2 linked regions of the Caenorhabditis elegans genome follow. The protein of the gene in region 1 interacts with the protein of each later gene in a pairwise test. Each region holds a gene or a part of one and is shown in the gene's direction. Other genes may lie near its edges.

What was found.
Region 2: the proteins of hars-1 (region 1) and cgt-2 interact in a two-hybrid assay, tested with the Caenorhabditis elegans proteins (one large-scale study listed by BioGRID).

Annotation. Positions count from the first base shown.
Region 1 is NC_003282.8:10,856,315-10,862,050, forward strand, and holds hars-1 (Histidine--tRNA ligase), read left to right. Parts: upstream 1-2,642; 5' UTR 2,643-2,653; coding exon 2,654-2,761; intron 2,762-3,002; exon of another isoform or gene 3,003-3,006; coding exon of another isoform or gene 3,007-3,105; intron 3,106-3,150; coding exon 3,151-3,702; intron 3,703-3,750; coding exon 3,751-4,159; intron 4,160-4,206; coding exon 4,207-4,655; intron 4,656-4,704; coding exon 4,705-4,761; 3' UTR 4,762-4,970; downstream 4,971-5,736. Other genes in the region: T11G6.2 (Sugar phosphate exchanger 3), read right to left, coding at 17-282, 329-572, 624-821, 866-1,192, 1,413-1,584, 1,628-1,749, 2,171-2,182; rbm-22 (Pre-mRNA-splicing factor RBM22), read left to right, coding at 5,099-5,209, 5,284-5,543. UniProt on the Caenorhabditis elegans protein: Involved in protein synthesis. Catalyzes the specific attachment of an amino acid to its cognate tRNA in a 2 step reaction: the amino acid (AA) is first activated by ATP to form AA-AMP and then transferred to the acceptor end of the tRNA.
Region 2 is NC_003284.9:17,692,968-17,701,770, forward strand, and holds cgt-2 (Ceramide glucosyltransferase 2), read left to right. Parts: upstream 1-2,264; 5' UTR 2,265-2,352; intron 2,353-3,505; 5' UTR 3,506-3,507; coding exon 3,508-3,755; intron 3,756-4,271; exon of another isoform or gene 4,272-4,379; intron 4,380-5,011; coding exon 5,012-5,247; intron 5,248-5,292; coding exon 5,293-5,513; intron 5,514-5,738; coding exon 5,739-6,062; intron 6,063-6,729; coding exon 6,730-6,861; intron 6,862-8,286; coding exon 8,287-8,457; 3' UTR 8,458-8,772; downstream 8,773-8,803.

The DNA of each region.
Region 1 (5,736 bases):
AAAAAAAGAACCGTACCATGACAATAAATCCATAAAACACCGCATCCCACCCAAACCAATGCTGAACCGATGGAATAAACCATTGTCCAATTGCAGCTCCAATACTTCCAGTTCCATCAATAATTCCCGTCACTGTGGAAAGAGCTTCCGCGTTTCCACGAAGTTGATCACATTTTCCGAGATCTGCCGTAATTGAGCTTGAGATCATGTTGGCCGGTCCTCCGATGAAAAATCCGGCGACGAGTAAGAGGAATGCATTCCAGTTGTAGGATTCGGGGGAATCTGAAACTCCTGATTGAAAGATTCGAACATTTTATTGAGGCCTTACGTGCATAAATATAAAGTGAAACAGTTGCCATTAACAGCATAATAAACACAACTGGGGTTCGAGATCTCATGTGATCCGAAAAGGCTCCGGCGAGCACAGCAGCCACGATTCCTCCAACATCATACCACGTGGAAAGTGAGTCGGCGTAGGATTCGGGCCAGTGCAAGCCAGCATGAAGGTAGTATGGCAACCAGAAGAAGAAACCGTAATTAACAAGCTTCAGACACGCATAAGCCAGTGAATACTGAAAATTAAAAGTTGAGTAACTTTTCGAAATCGGTGTATGACAACGTACTGCAATAACACCTGGAAGTAACCAAGCTTTCAAGAATCCAATTGGTGGTGGTCTTTCTGTAGGCTCATCATCAGTCTCTTCCTCTTCCATTTGTTCTGGTAGAATATCACTACTCACTTCCCATGGAGCTGATGGAAGTTGAAAGAATACAAGAAAACTGTAGATGAATAAAAGGGAGCATGCAATCAGGAATGAGTACTGAAATTTTGATCATGTTACACAATTACCATGTAACCAAATACCTGATATCCCAGAAAAAGAGTGTAACTAGCTATCAATGTTCCAATTATGTTTCCAACGCTTGCACACGATGACCAAGCTCCCATAACTGCTCCACGAGCATTATGTCCAAACCAATTGCCCATAATAGAGACTTCAACAGGCCACCCGACGGATTGAATAAACCCATTCAAAATCCATAAAAACGAGTAGACCATCGGAGAGTAGAAATGAAAAGTTTCAGTTAGATATCCAAAACAGAATACAATAATTGAAGAAAGCATCATTCCAGCTGTTAGAAGGCGACGAGGATTGTAGTTGTCTCCAAGTATTCCACATATGTACAGACCCTGAATATTGGAAATTGGGTATTTTGAATATTCTATTTCGGGAAATATTTGGAATTATGTGAAGTCACTATGAGATGCTAGGAAAAAAATACAAATGACGTCACACCTTTTCCCGCAATTTTTGGTAAGGAGCCTATTGAGTGTACAATTAACTGGGAATGATTTTTTCCTGTGACAAGTCAAATAAATCTATTTCGAAATTTCAAATTGTTATACTTACAATTGCATATGCAACCAAGAATCCTGTATCCAGAACACCTAAGAATTCAGCTGCAGCTTGTTGAGATGGAAATACTGGACCATCGGGTGTTGAAGTATTTGAGATCCATGTGTGAATAAGTGATGGTTTAACAGTAGACAATGTTTTCCGAGTGGCATGAAGCATTGCATAACTAAAAAAATAATTAATCTTATATTATTTACAATCAATCAAACCTCATAAAAGTATGTACAAATATAAAAACATGATGCTTGCTCCATTTTTGACCAGTTATTCTCGTCCAAAAACTGCTGGAGCTTACATCGTTCCTGAGTCTGATTCTCGGCATATGACCACCCTGAAATTGTTGAAATTGGAAGAAATATGATTGAATGGAAACTTGTTTAATTTTTGGAGGCGAAAATAGATATGGAGGTAGGAAATGAATTATTGTGATTCTATTGCTAAAAGAGATGCATGAAAAAATATGGAAATGATATTGCGAAGCTGACAAGTACAAAGTCATGTGAATATGGATATAAATACATAAACAAACAGAAATATTCCAGAAAGCTTGCGGCACAGAAAACATAAACAAAGTAGATGATGCATTAGTATTGATTTTCAGAAATTATAATGGTTGAATAATAAATCTTGTTTTCTTTTTATGAAAAGCAATTTTTAAAATTTATTTTATCACTTTTCATCAAACTGAATCAAAAAATCTCATAGAATACTAGAAGTTGTAGAAAAAGTGGGCGTAAAACTTTAAATTTTACCGTAACTAGCATTAAAGGCGCATATGGTTCACCGGTTGGGTCTCGAGGCGATTCCGTATTTTGAATGAGCGTTTTCTGAACTATTTAATTATCCAATTTTTAAGTGTCTTACGTTTCGAAATCGCGTTTCCTATTTATTTAAATTTAATTTAAAATTATTAATATTGCAAACACTTATTTCGTTATAATTAAAAAATTCCCATAATCAAATGTTCAAAGTCGTTAATGAGAGAAACAAAATTCAATTTTCGATATCAAATTTGATGAGACAGCCCACACGTGTTGATAAAATTGAAAATGACTATTCCTATTGACCCCCAGTCCTGTCTCGTGTAATTGCAAACGTGGACTACCGCACTCTCTCAATTCCCTCTGTTTTTTCTCTGTTAGACCTAATTTCGAAATCCGTTCCTCATCGTTTCCTTTTTGCATTTTTTTTAATCTTTGAACAATTTTGCAAATAAACTTGCAGGGTACACAATAATGTCATCTAAAATGACCGCCGAAAGAAAAGCAATTCTCATGCAAGAGGCTCAAGCTCTTGGAGACGAAATTCGACAGCTAAAACTCGACAAGGCCGATCAAGCAATTGTGAGTTTATCGATTTTTTGCTACATTGTTAATTTAAACGAAATTCAGTCAGAAACAAACAAATAATCGTTTAATTTCCAAAATTAGATAGACTTTTTACATGTATCGTTTTTTTTCGCATTTTTGAACAAATAAAGGATACCCGTTCATGTCTGATCTTCTATTTTAATGAAACGCGTTTGCAATCCGCATAGTTTTCTCACCAAATTCATAAAATTGTGACGAACTTTCACATCTTCAGTAAAATGTTTCGAACTATTACGAGTAGGCTGGCTTTCTCAGTTCGGCAGGCTGAAGAAACTGTAAAACCGCGGATTGCATATGCACAGAGAAGTGGACGACGAGTATTCTTGAATAACATGAAATTCCACCAATACATGCTTTTTCAGATCAAAGAGAAAGTCGCACTGATGCAAGCGAAAAGAAAGGAGGCAGGCGAGACCGGTGCACCCGAAAAACCCGGAAAGTTTGTTCTGAAAACAGGAAAGGGAACTCGTGACTACGGACCAGCTCAATCGGCTCTTCGCAATTCTGTGTTACAGACAGTCACTGAAACATTCAATAGATATGGTGCAGAGACCATTGATACACCAGTATTCGAGCTTCGTGATGTTCTGATGGGAAAATATGGCGAGGAAGGAGGAAAACTTGTATATGATCTTCAAGATCAAGGAGGAGAGCTTCTATCATTGCGTTATGATCTCACTGTTCCATTTGCACGATACTTGGCAATGAACAAAATCACGAATATTACAAGATATCAAATTGCGAAAGTATACAGAAGAGATCAACCTGTAATGTCTCGTGGACGGTACCGCGAGTTCTATCAATGCGATTTTGATATTGCCGGACAGTATGACCTTATGCTTCCGGAGGCTGAGTGTCTGGGAATTGTTGATGAGTTGCTCACGAAACTGGAAATTGGAGAGTTTTTCATTAATGTAAGGCATTTATTAACAATCATTTTAATTCGAATTGTGTTGTTTCAGCTCAATCACCGTCTGATCCTCGAAGGAATGTTTGCCGTTTCCGGTATTCCTGCTAAAGATTTCAAAACAATTTGCTCATCGGTCGATAAGCTTGACAAAACTCCATGGGAAGATGTTGAACAAGAAATGATTAATGAAAAGTTCCTAACTAAAGAGCAGACTGGAAAGCTGGGAGAACTTGTTCGATTCCGAGAGCTCAATAGCGATCTCAACAATTTGGAACTTCTTGAAAAAATGTCACAACTCCCAGATCTCGGGCAAAATGACAAGTTTAAAAAGGGAGCCGAAGAACTGAAGGTGTTAATTGAGTACCTCAATGTCGATGGAGTGACCACTGTTCGATACGAACCATCCCTTGCCAGAGGTCTTGATTATTATACAGGTGCAATCTATGAAGCAGTCGCTCCTAGTATGTTTTTAAATATTGAATCGACTATTCAAATTGTTTAATTTCAGAAGCTCTTGAAGGAACTGCTGTTGAAAACTCAGAGGATACTGCTGGACAACCAGTCGGAGTAGGATCAGTAGCTGCCGGTGGACGATACGATGGATTGGTTAAAATGTTCGACTCAAAAGCCAATGTTCCATGTTGCGGTGTTTCTTTTGGTATCGAACGTCTGTTTGCTATCATGGAAGCTCGACAGAAAGTTGCCATTCGTACGACGCAAACCGAAGTCTATGTTGCATCTGCTCAAAAGAATTTGGTCAGGGATCGCAAGAAGTTGGTAAAGATGCTTCGATCTGCTGGAATCAAGACTGAAATGGCACTGAAGGCTAATCCGAAATTGTTAACGCAATTCCAGTATGCTGAGGAAAGACGTATTCCGCTTGCTATTGTTATTGGAGAGCAGGAGCTTAAAGATGGAGTTGTCAAGTTGCGAAATGTGGTCACCAGAGACGAACAGGTAATTTTTCTAATATAATTTTTCCGATATCACAATTAAATATTTTCAGACTATTAAACTCGACCAGCTGATCACTGCCGTTCGTGACACTCTTGCCGCCCTCTAAACAATCGATAATTTCTTGTTTTCTTAGCTTTCTAATTCTCTGCGTTCACCTCACTTCAGCTTTTATGTCCCTCTTTCCAGTCATCATAATTCATATTTCCTGTTTTATTGATTTTTGCATAGTCGGTGTTTGACTTGTTTGTTTTTCTCCTTTTTTTGTTCCAGATTTCATATTTATTTTTGTTGGTTTGAAAATTCAGAACTTATCACATTTCCTTTTGGTTTAGAATTTTCTATTTTGATTGAAAGGTTTCTCAATCCTTACTCAAATTTCTTATTTGTGTTTTCACAGATTTAAAAGAACTCGTAGTTCATAATTTATTTCAGAATTTGCCATCATGTCGATGTCAAAGTCTTCTTACTCGCAATACAACCGGAAAAATTGGGAAGATTCAGATTTTCCAATTCTCTGTGAGACATGTCTCGGAAATAATCCATATATGAGAATGGTAAGTTTATTATTTAATTTAAAGTTTTAGACATTTTCGTTCTATAGTTTTTCCTTCTAATTCACATTTTTCAGATGAAGGACAAATATGGCAGAGAATGCAAAATCTGTGAGCGCCCATTCACCACCTTCAGATGGCAACCAGGAAAGGGAGCTCGTTACAAGAACACTGAACTTTGTCAAACATGTGCTAAAGTGAAGAATGTGTGCCAGACATGCATGTTCGATTTGGAATATGGATTGCCTGTCCAAGTGCGTGATCACGAACTTCAAATTGCTGATAATATCCCGAAACAAGGAGCAAATCGCGATTTCTTTTTGCAAAATGTGGAGAGGTACGTCTTTAATATTTTCTATGATGATGTTTTGCTACAAACATTAAGGAATAAGTTCGCATCCTAGGAAAAAACATCGAAAAAAATTGATTCTGTTTCAAAGAATATCAAAAAATTGGAAAAAGAGTGCAGAAAATTTACAAAAACTTTCTTAAATCAAAATTTATTTATGATATGTTGATGAGAAAAAACA
Region 2 (8,803 bases), on another chromosome or scaffold:
TCGCCACGAAGAGGCTTAGTACAGAAAGAGAATAAAATTTATGGTATTCCGGAAAAGTTTTGATAGATTTGGATTCTTGATTTTTTAAAAATATTATTGGTATGTTTGTGTGACAGGAAAGTAAATTTAAGCCGCGCCAGAGAGGTTTTTGTGTGTGCCTTGGAACATAAAAACCGAAAAACCAATTTCTCTAAATTTTGAATCAAAAAAATTCGAGAAAATTTATTTTAAAGATAATTTCGTGAATTGCATGTTTTACAAAAATCACGTTTAAACAAAAAGCGTAGTTTAAACAAAAAGCGTAGTTTTGAGGATCAATCAGTCTGGAAGTTGACGGAAATATATGACATCAATATATTTTGCACTACTAATAGGCCACTATGTACCACATACAAAATATTTGAGAAAGGATGAAAACTGAGAAAATACGAAAAAACTTATTGCTCACCCTAATAAAATAGTTCATCAGATATATCGACTTTGAATATTGAGCAACTGCATTGTAGCAAAATTAATGAGCAGGTGGATGATGAAAAAAGATGGAACAGCTAAAAGTTGGAGAAGGAAACACTGGATTAGCGATATAAAATTAACACAATGTTAACATAGAAAAAAGGCTTACTCAAGGAAAATAATGCCTTCAAAATTCACCATTATTGGAAAAAATTTCCCTGATTGTATATTTGAGCTTGAAATCGTAAATTGCAATTGCGTTCTCGACTTTTTTTGTGCGCTCCAATGAGAAATTATTTGGGTGCGACTTTGAAAAAAGTCATTGGGACGCAAATGGAATTTGCAATTTCAAGATCAAAAATAAAATGAGGGAAATTTTTTTCACATAGATATTCGAAGTCATGCACAAATTTGGAGTCATTTGAAGATAGTTCCTAGACTTCGGTTCTCCGCCTCTAATATGAAATATACTTGTTAGAATAAAAATAAATGATTTTACAAAAGCTAACATGCGCATCTTTTAACATTTATGTGAAAAAAATTGGAGTAAGTTTCAGTGTTTCACAACAATTGGAAACATGAATCACTCAGTGATAAATCAACTTGGTTCAGAGTGGTGTTTTCAAATGCAACATTTGCTTACGTAAAGGGTAGGCAACATTTTTGTACAAGAATCATGTCATACGACAATAATAAAAATTTTAGATTAGAAAATCTCATGAACTCAAAATACAAAAAAAGATACTTAGAAAAGCGACATAAAAACCAGAAAAAAAAATTTATGCATGAATTATTCAAAAAATGAATGACGGAATTTCAGTCATGCTATCAGCCATTTGGGTAACGTTTCCTTACAACAGATTGGAAAATCGGTGGACATCTCCATGTCTATTGTCTGCAATATGTGATTTGAAATAAAAACATATATGGGGCAATAGTAGTTATGTTTTTCAGCAGTTTAATATATATGTAAACTACCATGTTAGCAAATAACTTGAACCGAGAGAAAGAGAGAGGGATGGGAGGTTCATTACTGCAAAGACTGCACTGTTTATCAATCACTAGGAGTAAGCACCGAAATTGATCTCTAGCCCACAATGATTAAACAAAAAATTAGGACAGGATTTTCATGACAGCCTAAAAATAAAAAATGTAGGAAAAAGTTTAAAAACATTTTACAGATGGTTTCGGTTATTACGATTTAATTTCTATAATTGTAAAATTTCACACAGACTTTGCTTCAACTTAGAATTGGAAACATGCAAAAAGAGCGGCTATAATTTCAATTTAAATCGAAGCTCCAACGTTTTATCAGCACCTTTGTATCACTCCGCGATGCCATGCAGTCATTTACTCGTATTCAAAATTTGATGATTGTCAGCATAATTATTTGATGAATTTTTTCAGTTTTCACTTGCGTGTTTTTGTTATCAAAGTAGAAAAGAAGGGTAAAACGCGTTACAGATGCAATATTAGTTTATAGTACATTGCGCTCACGCGTTTTATCAGTGCCTAAATGGCAAGTGCGTCTCCGAGAATTTATAGTTAACAGTTGTGTCTTTTGTCTTGGTACTTAGTTTTCAATATATTTCTAACTATGTTTTGTCTTAGGCCTAGATTGACGATTTTTTTGTTTGCAACTTGAGATTAAGAAGAGAAAAAAGTTATGTTAAATTTCGTAAATAAATTTAAATAATGATAATCAAATTTTTGGTGAAGTGATTTTAAAGCCATCAAGTTAACTATTAAGTTATGGAAGCTCTATATGATTAAGTTTCATTTAAATGTTTCAGTAACTATTCAAATTTCAGATTATAACGACATTTGTGCATCTCTAGTTGTTTACAGTTTAGTAATTGGTGACAAAGTATCCTCAGTCGGATTTCACACTAAACAACGGTTAGTTTGCCATTTAAAAAAGTAGGATTTTCAAAAATATTTGTGCGTTATGGCAAAATTGAGCTTTTACAATAAAAATAAAAATACAAAGATCAAAACTATATAAAGTTTAAAATTGCTAGCATTTTTTATCAACCTGTAAAATAATAATAAATAGGCGAAAACATTTTTATTGAAACTGAATTACTTTTTTTTATTTTTTAAATTATTCCTCCATGCTTATTGACCATGTTAGTACAGTAGGAATTATTTTATACAATTCTGCTATGGGCGCCACCCCACATTTATTTTATTTCTCCATAAGTTTTAAACACCAAATATATGTTTAAAAACTGCCAAAACATTCAATTTCATTTGGTTGTTTGAATTGAGTTTTTTTTTCAATGTTGTCAGCTTTATCATTTTAGACTCAACAAAAAACTTTGAAAAAGAGGTTATCAGCGCTTGTTCTGATTGGCATAACACAATTAGCACAAACTGATTTTCATATTTTTTCAGTGTAGTTTTAATGTTCTGGGTTTGAATACCAATCATTTTTTCGTTTCTTCTAAATATTAACTTTTTGCAACAGGATTTTTAGAAAATATTTAAAATTTGAAGAATTAGTTACATATGACAAGCAGAATTATCACTTTTTTTAAGTGAACACGTTTTTTTTTTCATTTTCAGGAAGTTAATTTGTTAAATTGTCAGACATTTTCTCGCTAAAAACTGAGAACTTTCAATTTTTAGGCAAACTCACTTTTCACTTTTTTGTGTACTTTTCTGACCAGGTTCAATTTTTGCTATGAAAATGAGAATACAGCATTTTTCATATATTGTTTTTAAAAATAATTGTTGAGTTTTTCAAATAGTCCCAAATCACCAGATATTTTTGCAAATGTTTTTTTGAACATTTTATATGATCAGTCAAAAAGGTATAAATTTGGAAGTCGATAGAAAACCTTTTTCTATGCACTTATGGCACATTAATTTTTTGGATCTGAACATCAAAAAATGTTAAACCATTTTATGAGAAATTTTTGTCCAATTTTGGAGATCTTTTTTAAATTTAAAAACATCTCAATTTTGAAACATTGTTTTATTTCTTTTAGTTCTTTGTGTTTTTTTTTCAATTCGTATTTGACATTTTAAAAAATCCACAATATTGCAGTAATGGGCGATAAAATAACCGGTTTGGAGGTTGAGATTATTCCGGAAATTTCAGAAGTTCAACCTGAATCTCTTCAAGAACAGAACGCCTCGTCGTTATATTACCCACTTTTCTCGCAATATATACCTCTTTTATTAACTGGAACAAAGAAAATATTAGAGGACATCGATTATTGCACATGTTTTGCGGTTTTCGGTGTGGTTTTTGTGAGTGCATTGTACTTTTTGCACATTGTTGGTTTATGCTATGGGTGAGTTTTTTGAGTCTTCAAAATGAAAATCGAGCCAGACATTAAAAAGTTAATAAAAAATTTTCATAGAATTCTGTAACCAAAATAGAATCTCGCAGCTGCCTAATTATGAAAATATACTTTCTGCAGCAATTTTTATAATTAGGCTTTTTGTAAAGTCTATGAAAAGATTTGGAAATAGTTTCCTACTGAACCTCACATGAGCTCATTTTTCATTTTTATAAGTTTTTTTTTTAACTTTCAGAAAATAAATTGTTTCAAATTGAAAAAATTATAAGATTTTTAAAAAGTTGAGGGAAATTACATATCGTAATTTTCTAATTCATTGTTGCTACAAAAAACTATTTAAAAAAAAACCATCACAAAAAATATGTTGACACTCGGGACCAGTAGAGGGGAGTCAGTCACCCTACCGAGTGACAAACAGCGTATTACAGATACGCGCGGAGAGACACGGAGCAAGGTTCGAGCGGCATTGGTGATAAGCGGTGCGGAGAGAATAACAGTACACAGTTTCAGATGAATTCCAGTTTATTCAGTGGATATAAATAGGAATTAAAGTGATTAACAGAATGGAAATGGTGCAGAAAGGTCCTGAATCACAGTGTCTGCGGATGGGTAGCCGCTGACTCGTCTGGAGAAAGTAGAACAGAATGAACGATTGGCCTAAAAGTAGGTTAGAATTATTGTGTGGATTTACGGAGCTATGACGCTTCGGAATAACGGGAGTTATCGGAGGAGCGCGCTTGCATCGGGAAATACGCAAATGGCGGTAATTCAAATGGGATGTATTATTAATAGATAATAAACGGAAAAGGACAACGGAGAGTGAATGTATTCGCGGATAATGAGTGGTGGCGAGTGGGTGAGCCTGACCGGTCATATATCTGCAAAGTTGGGACGCAGGGAAAGCGTTAGGCCCAAATCACAACAAAATACACTTTTGGCTTTTTTCGAATTATAAGCAAGTCGGACGACAACAAATATGAAACGATATTCACAAGATTTTGTGAGTCAAAAGTTTTTTTTTTAACTATGGAAACACGAAATATCGGCTTCAAAAAACCGATGCAATCCCCAATAAAATATACAGTTAAATTTTGTTAAATTTTTTAAACAAATTTTCCAGGGTTATAGAATTGTTATCTTAAATAAATACTATTTTAAACATCTAACATTTTCTTTTCACAAGTTCTTGCTCGGATTTTCGAATACTGTTTACACTAGCTGTTTTTTTCTAAAAGAACCTGTTCCAGAAAGTATCGACTCCACCGTCCAACCAAACCCAACCCTTCACTACCCGGAGTCTCAATTATCAAGCCAATTATAGGAGCCGACGCTAATTTATACACAAATTTAGAAACATTTTTTACAACGCAGTATCACAAATTTGAACTTCTATTTTGCTTTGACAGATCAGATGATCCAGCAGTGAAGGTAGTGGAGAGCTTAGTCAAGAAATATCCCTCAGTTGATTCAACTATGTTTTTTGGTTAGTTCTATCCGAAAGAACGAAATTTTCAACAAATAATTCCAGGTGGCGAAAAAATTGGCCTGAACCCAAAAATCAACAACATGATGCCAGCTTATAGAATAGCCAAGTACCAACTTATAATGATTAGTGATAGTGGAATATTTATGAAATCTGACGCAGTTTTGGATATGGCAAGTACAATGATGAGCCATGAGACAATGGCGTTAGTGACGCAAACTCCGTATTGCAAGGACAGAAAAGGGTTTGCTTCGGTTTTTGAGCAAGTGAGTTGTATTGAATGGTCAAAACAAACAAAAACTCTAGCAAGTCAAAAAATTGCGCGCCAATCCAAATTTTGAAGCGTCTTACGCTAATTTTTATCGTTGTTAACGTACTTGCCTGTTTTAATATCGCCTTGAGTATTTCAGTATGGGCTACACTTGTTAGTAATCTCCCCACATCGACTACTTCTTCTTTAACATTGATACATATAGACTAAATAGTTTTAGATATATTTCGGAACCTCTCATGCCAGAATTTATCTAGCCGGAAACTGCCTCCAATTCAACTGCCCAACCGGAATGTCATCGATGATGAAAAAGGAAGCATTGGATGAATGTGGCGGCTTTGCTGCGTTCAGTGGATATCTTGCCGAGGATTACTTCTTCGGGAAGAAACTGGCGTCTCGAGGATACAAATCAGGAATTTCTACACATCCAGCGCTACAAAATTCTGCTGCGGTAACCATGACGTCATTCACGGATAGAGTCTGTCGATGGGTGAAGCTTAGAATGGCAATGATGCCTCAAATTATTTTTGTGGAGCCGCTGCAAGTGAGTCTTCATAGTAAAAAGTATTATATTGGGGGAGGTGGAGAATAAGCTCCAGGAATCTTTGTTATCATTACGCTATTTTATGTGACAATAGATTAAAAAAATTTTCATACCATCAAGGCCTTAACTCGGAGCCATTTTTTGAGGCATCTGTCCGATCGCGCTTCTTTTCCGCTGAGTTGAATAAATTGGTTTTGTTTAATTTAAAATGAAGTATGTGGATTTATTGAAAACTTAAAAAAAACCAGACTAGTTTAAAAACAACATTTTATTGATCGTTAAAAAAATATTAAATTGTTTTTATTTATAATAAATTCAAATTTCGGAATGTCAAAAAAAAGTTCCTTACTATTACTATGACTCCTATCTATGACTCCTATCCTTACTATGACTGTTTTGCATTATTTCTGCATGCAAAATCATATATTCATATATGAACATTTTTTAACAACCAACAAACAACTTTTAAAATTTTCACCTTTTTTAAGCTTCTGTCAAATGAAAGCACATAAATGATACTATAGATTCCTACAATTTGAGAACAATCTACCTGGTGAAAAAAATTATGAATTTTGGCCCGGAACATATTAACCCTAATTGTTCTTGCAGCCGCAAATTTGAGAAAAGAAGTGTTCAAGTGAAAATATAACAGTTCAACAAATTTCAGGATTGCTTCCCTTCTGCACTCATAATTTCCTTCAGTCTCAACTACATTGCTAATATTGATATGCTTACAACAATCATGCTTCACGTAGTGTTTTGGATTACTATGGATTGTATGGTCATGTGCAAAATGCAGGTATGAAAATGTTTATTGAAAAAATTATTCACAACTGCAGTTGAATGTGATTCACCGGTAAAAGTATACATTTGTTGACAAGATAGAGATTTTTCCGTTACACTTTTCAATATGTGTGGAAAAGTGTATTTTTGAACTACAGCCATAAGATGCGTGGGCGGTTGCAAATGTTCAATTTGAGGGTAGAAGTGACATACACAGGTAATGCGGGAACAGTCCAATGGCGGCTCAAAAACCGCGGACAGCTGTTTCGCTAAACGGCATATGAGTTACTTTTGTGTTGAGCTTGTTTTTGTTATTGTTTTACTCTGTTCTTAGCCTGAGAGTATTTTAAGAACTAACAATGACAAAAACTGTGTTCCAAACAAATAGGTCGTGAGCCGGCCGAAAAACAGTATTTGAAAGCCAATTTTTTGTCTTGAAATTTGGTATTTGGTTGACTTTTTTCTCAAACCATTTGACAAAACAAGAACATTGAAACTATTCTATTTGTGTATTTTCGTTTTGTAGTTACTTTATTTTTTAATTGTTTGGTTTTTTTTCAGCCAATAAAAAAACGGTTATAGTTTTTCAAAGAAAGCCATACAACAGTTCAAAGTGAATTTCAATTTCAAGAAAATCAATCAATAAAAAATATAATGATTTTTTAAATAGAACTGTTCTGTTTAAAAACTTTCAATGTTTTTGGGTTAAACAATTTTCTGAAAAAAACTTTCGAGGTAATCCAAATATCAGACTTTGAGAAAAAGGTGGAAACACTTGAAATCTACAGTAAATAACTTGATTTTGAAAAACTAAATGAAAGTAGTAAGTTTACATAAATTCTCATAAAAATTTTCTAGAATAAACAAAAACTGAAAATGTCTCATTTTTTGTGGTCCACTTTTTTTGGAATAGCTCAATTGGGTTAAGATTCGTTTTTTTTTGCTCTAAACATACAAAACGTGATTGCGTTAGATATTAACGTCACATCGATAACAGCTATTGTTAAAAATCAATAAAAAAAATCTCCAGAGTTTTTCGATTTTTTCAGAACAAATTAGCAAAAAAGCTGGCCGAAATAGTTGAAACTCATAGACTATATATATATACTACTGACTGTATATACTGACTGCCTACTATAAGTCTTCAAAATAAAATTTTGGAAAAAAAACATAAATTGACGATATACTTCAAAACTTATTTGCCGACCTAATAACACGTAACACTGCCGAACAACCGCCATTGGACCGCATCGGGCTGTCGTCGGCTGAAAATAGCCCCCACCGGAGGCTCGGTTTTTGAAGTTTAGTTGGGCGCCAGATAGCCGCATCCGGCCCGCCGTTTGACCATTCCCGCTTTACATGTGTTCCTTTGTGATTAAAATATATTATTTTTTGTAGTTTCAGTGTTTTCTCAATAAAAAAAAACGGTATTTCATTTCAGAACAAGAAAATGAGCTTCTCCCCTTTGAAATTTCTGTTGATTTGGTTGCTCCGCGAGCTATTTGCTCCATTGGTATTCATCAAAGCCGCACTTGATCCATCGATCCGTTGGAGGGACAACGTTTTTCACCTGGCTTGGGGTGGGAAAATTCGCAGTCAAACTTCAATTTAGATCACGCCCAAACATTTGCTCGATTTTTTAAATGAAATACTATGTAACACTTTGTCTGTAACATTTTGCCTTTTTTACACGTTCCACAAGTTCTCTTGCACTTTCCCTAAATCTCCACAGTCATTATATCACTACTTTTGTTCCTGCATCATGCGACTTGGCGGCGGGCCGCTTCTTTTATCAGTATTTTGAGTTTTAAACTTCTAGGGACTTTTGAACCATTTGAAAACTTGATACTTCTGTCTTATAGCCACGCAAGTTTTTGAATAATGATTTAGTTTTGTTCGTCTATATTTCCAATAAAAATTTCAATTTTTCAGGCCTTTTCCTGAATCAAGAATGTTTA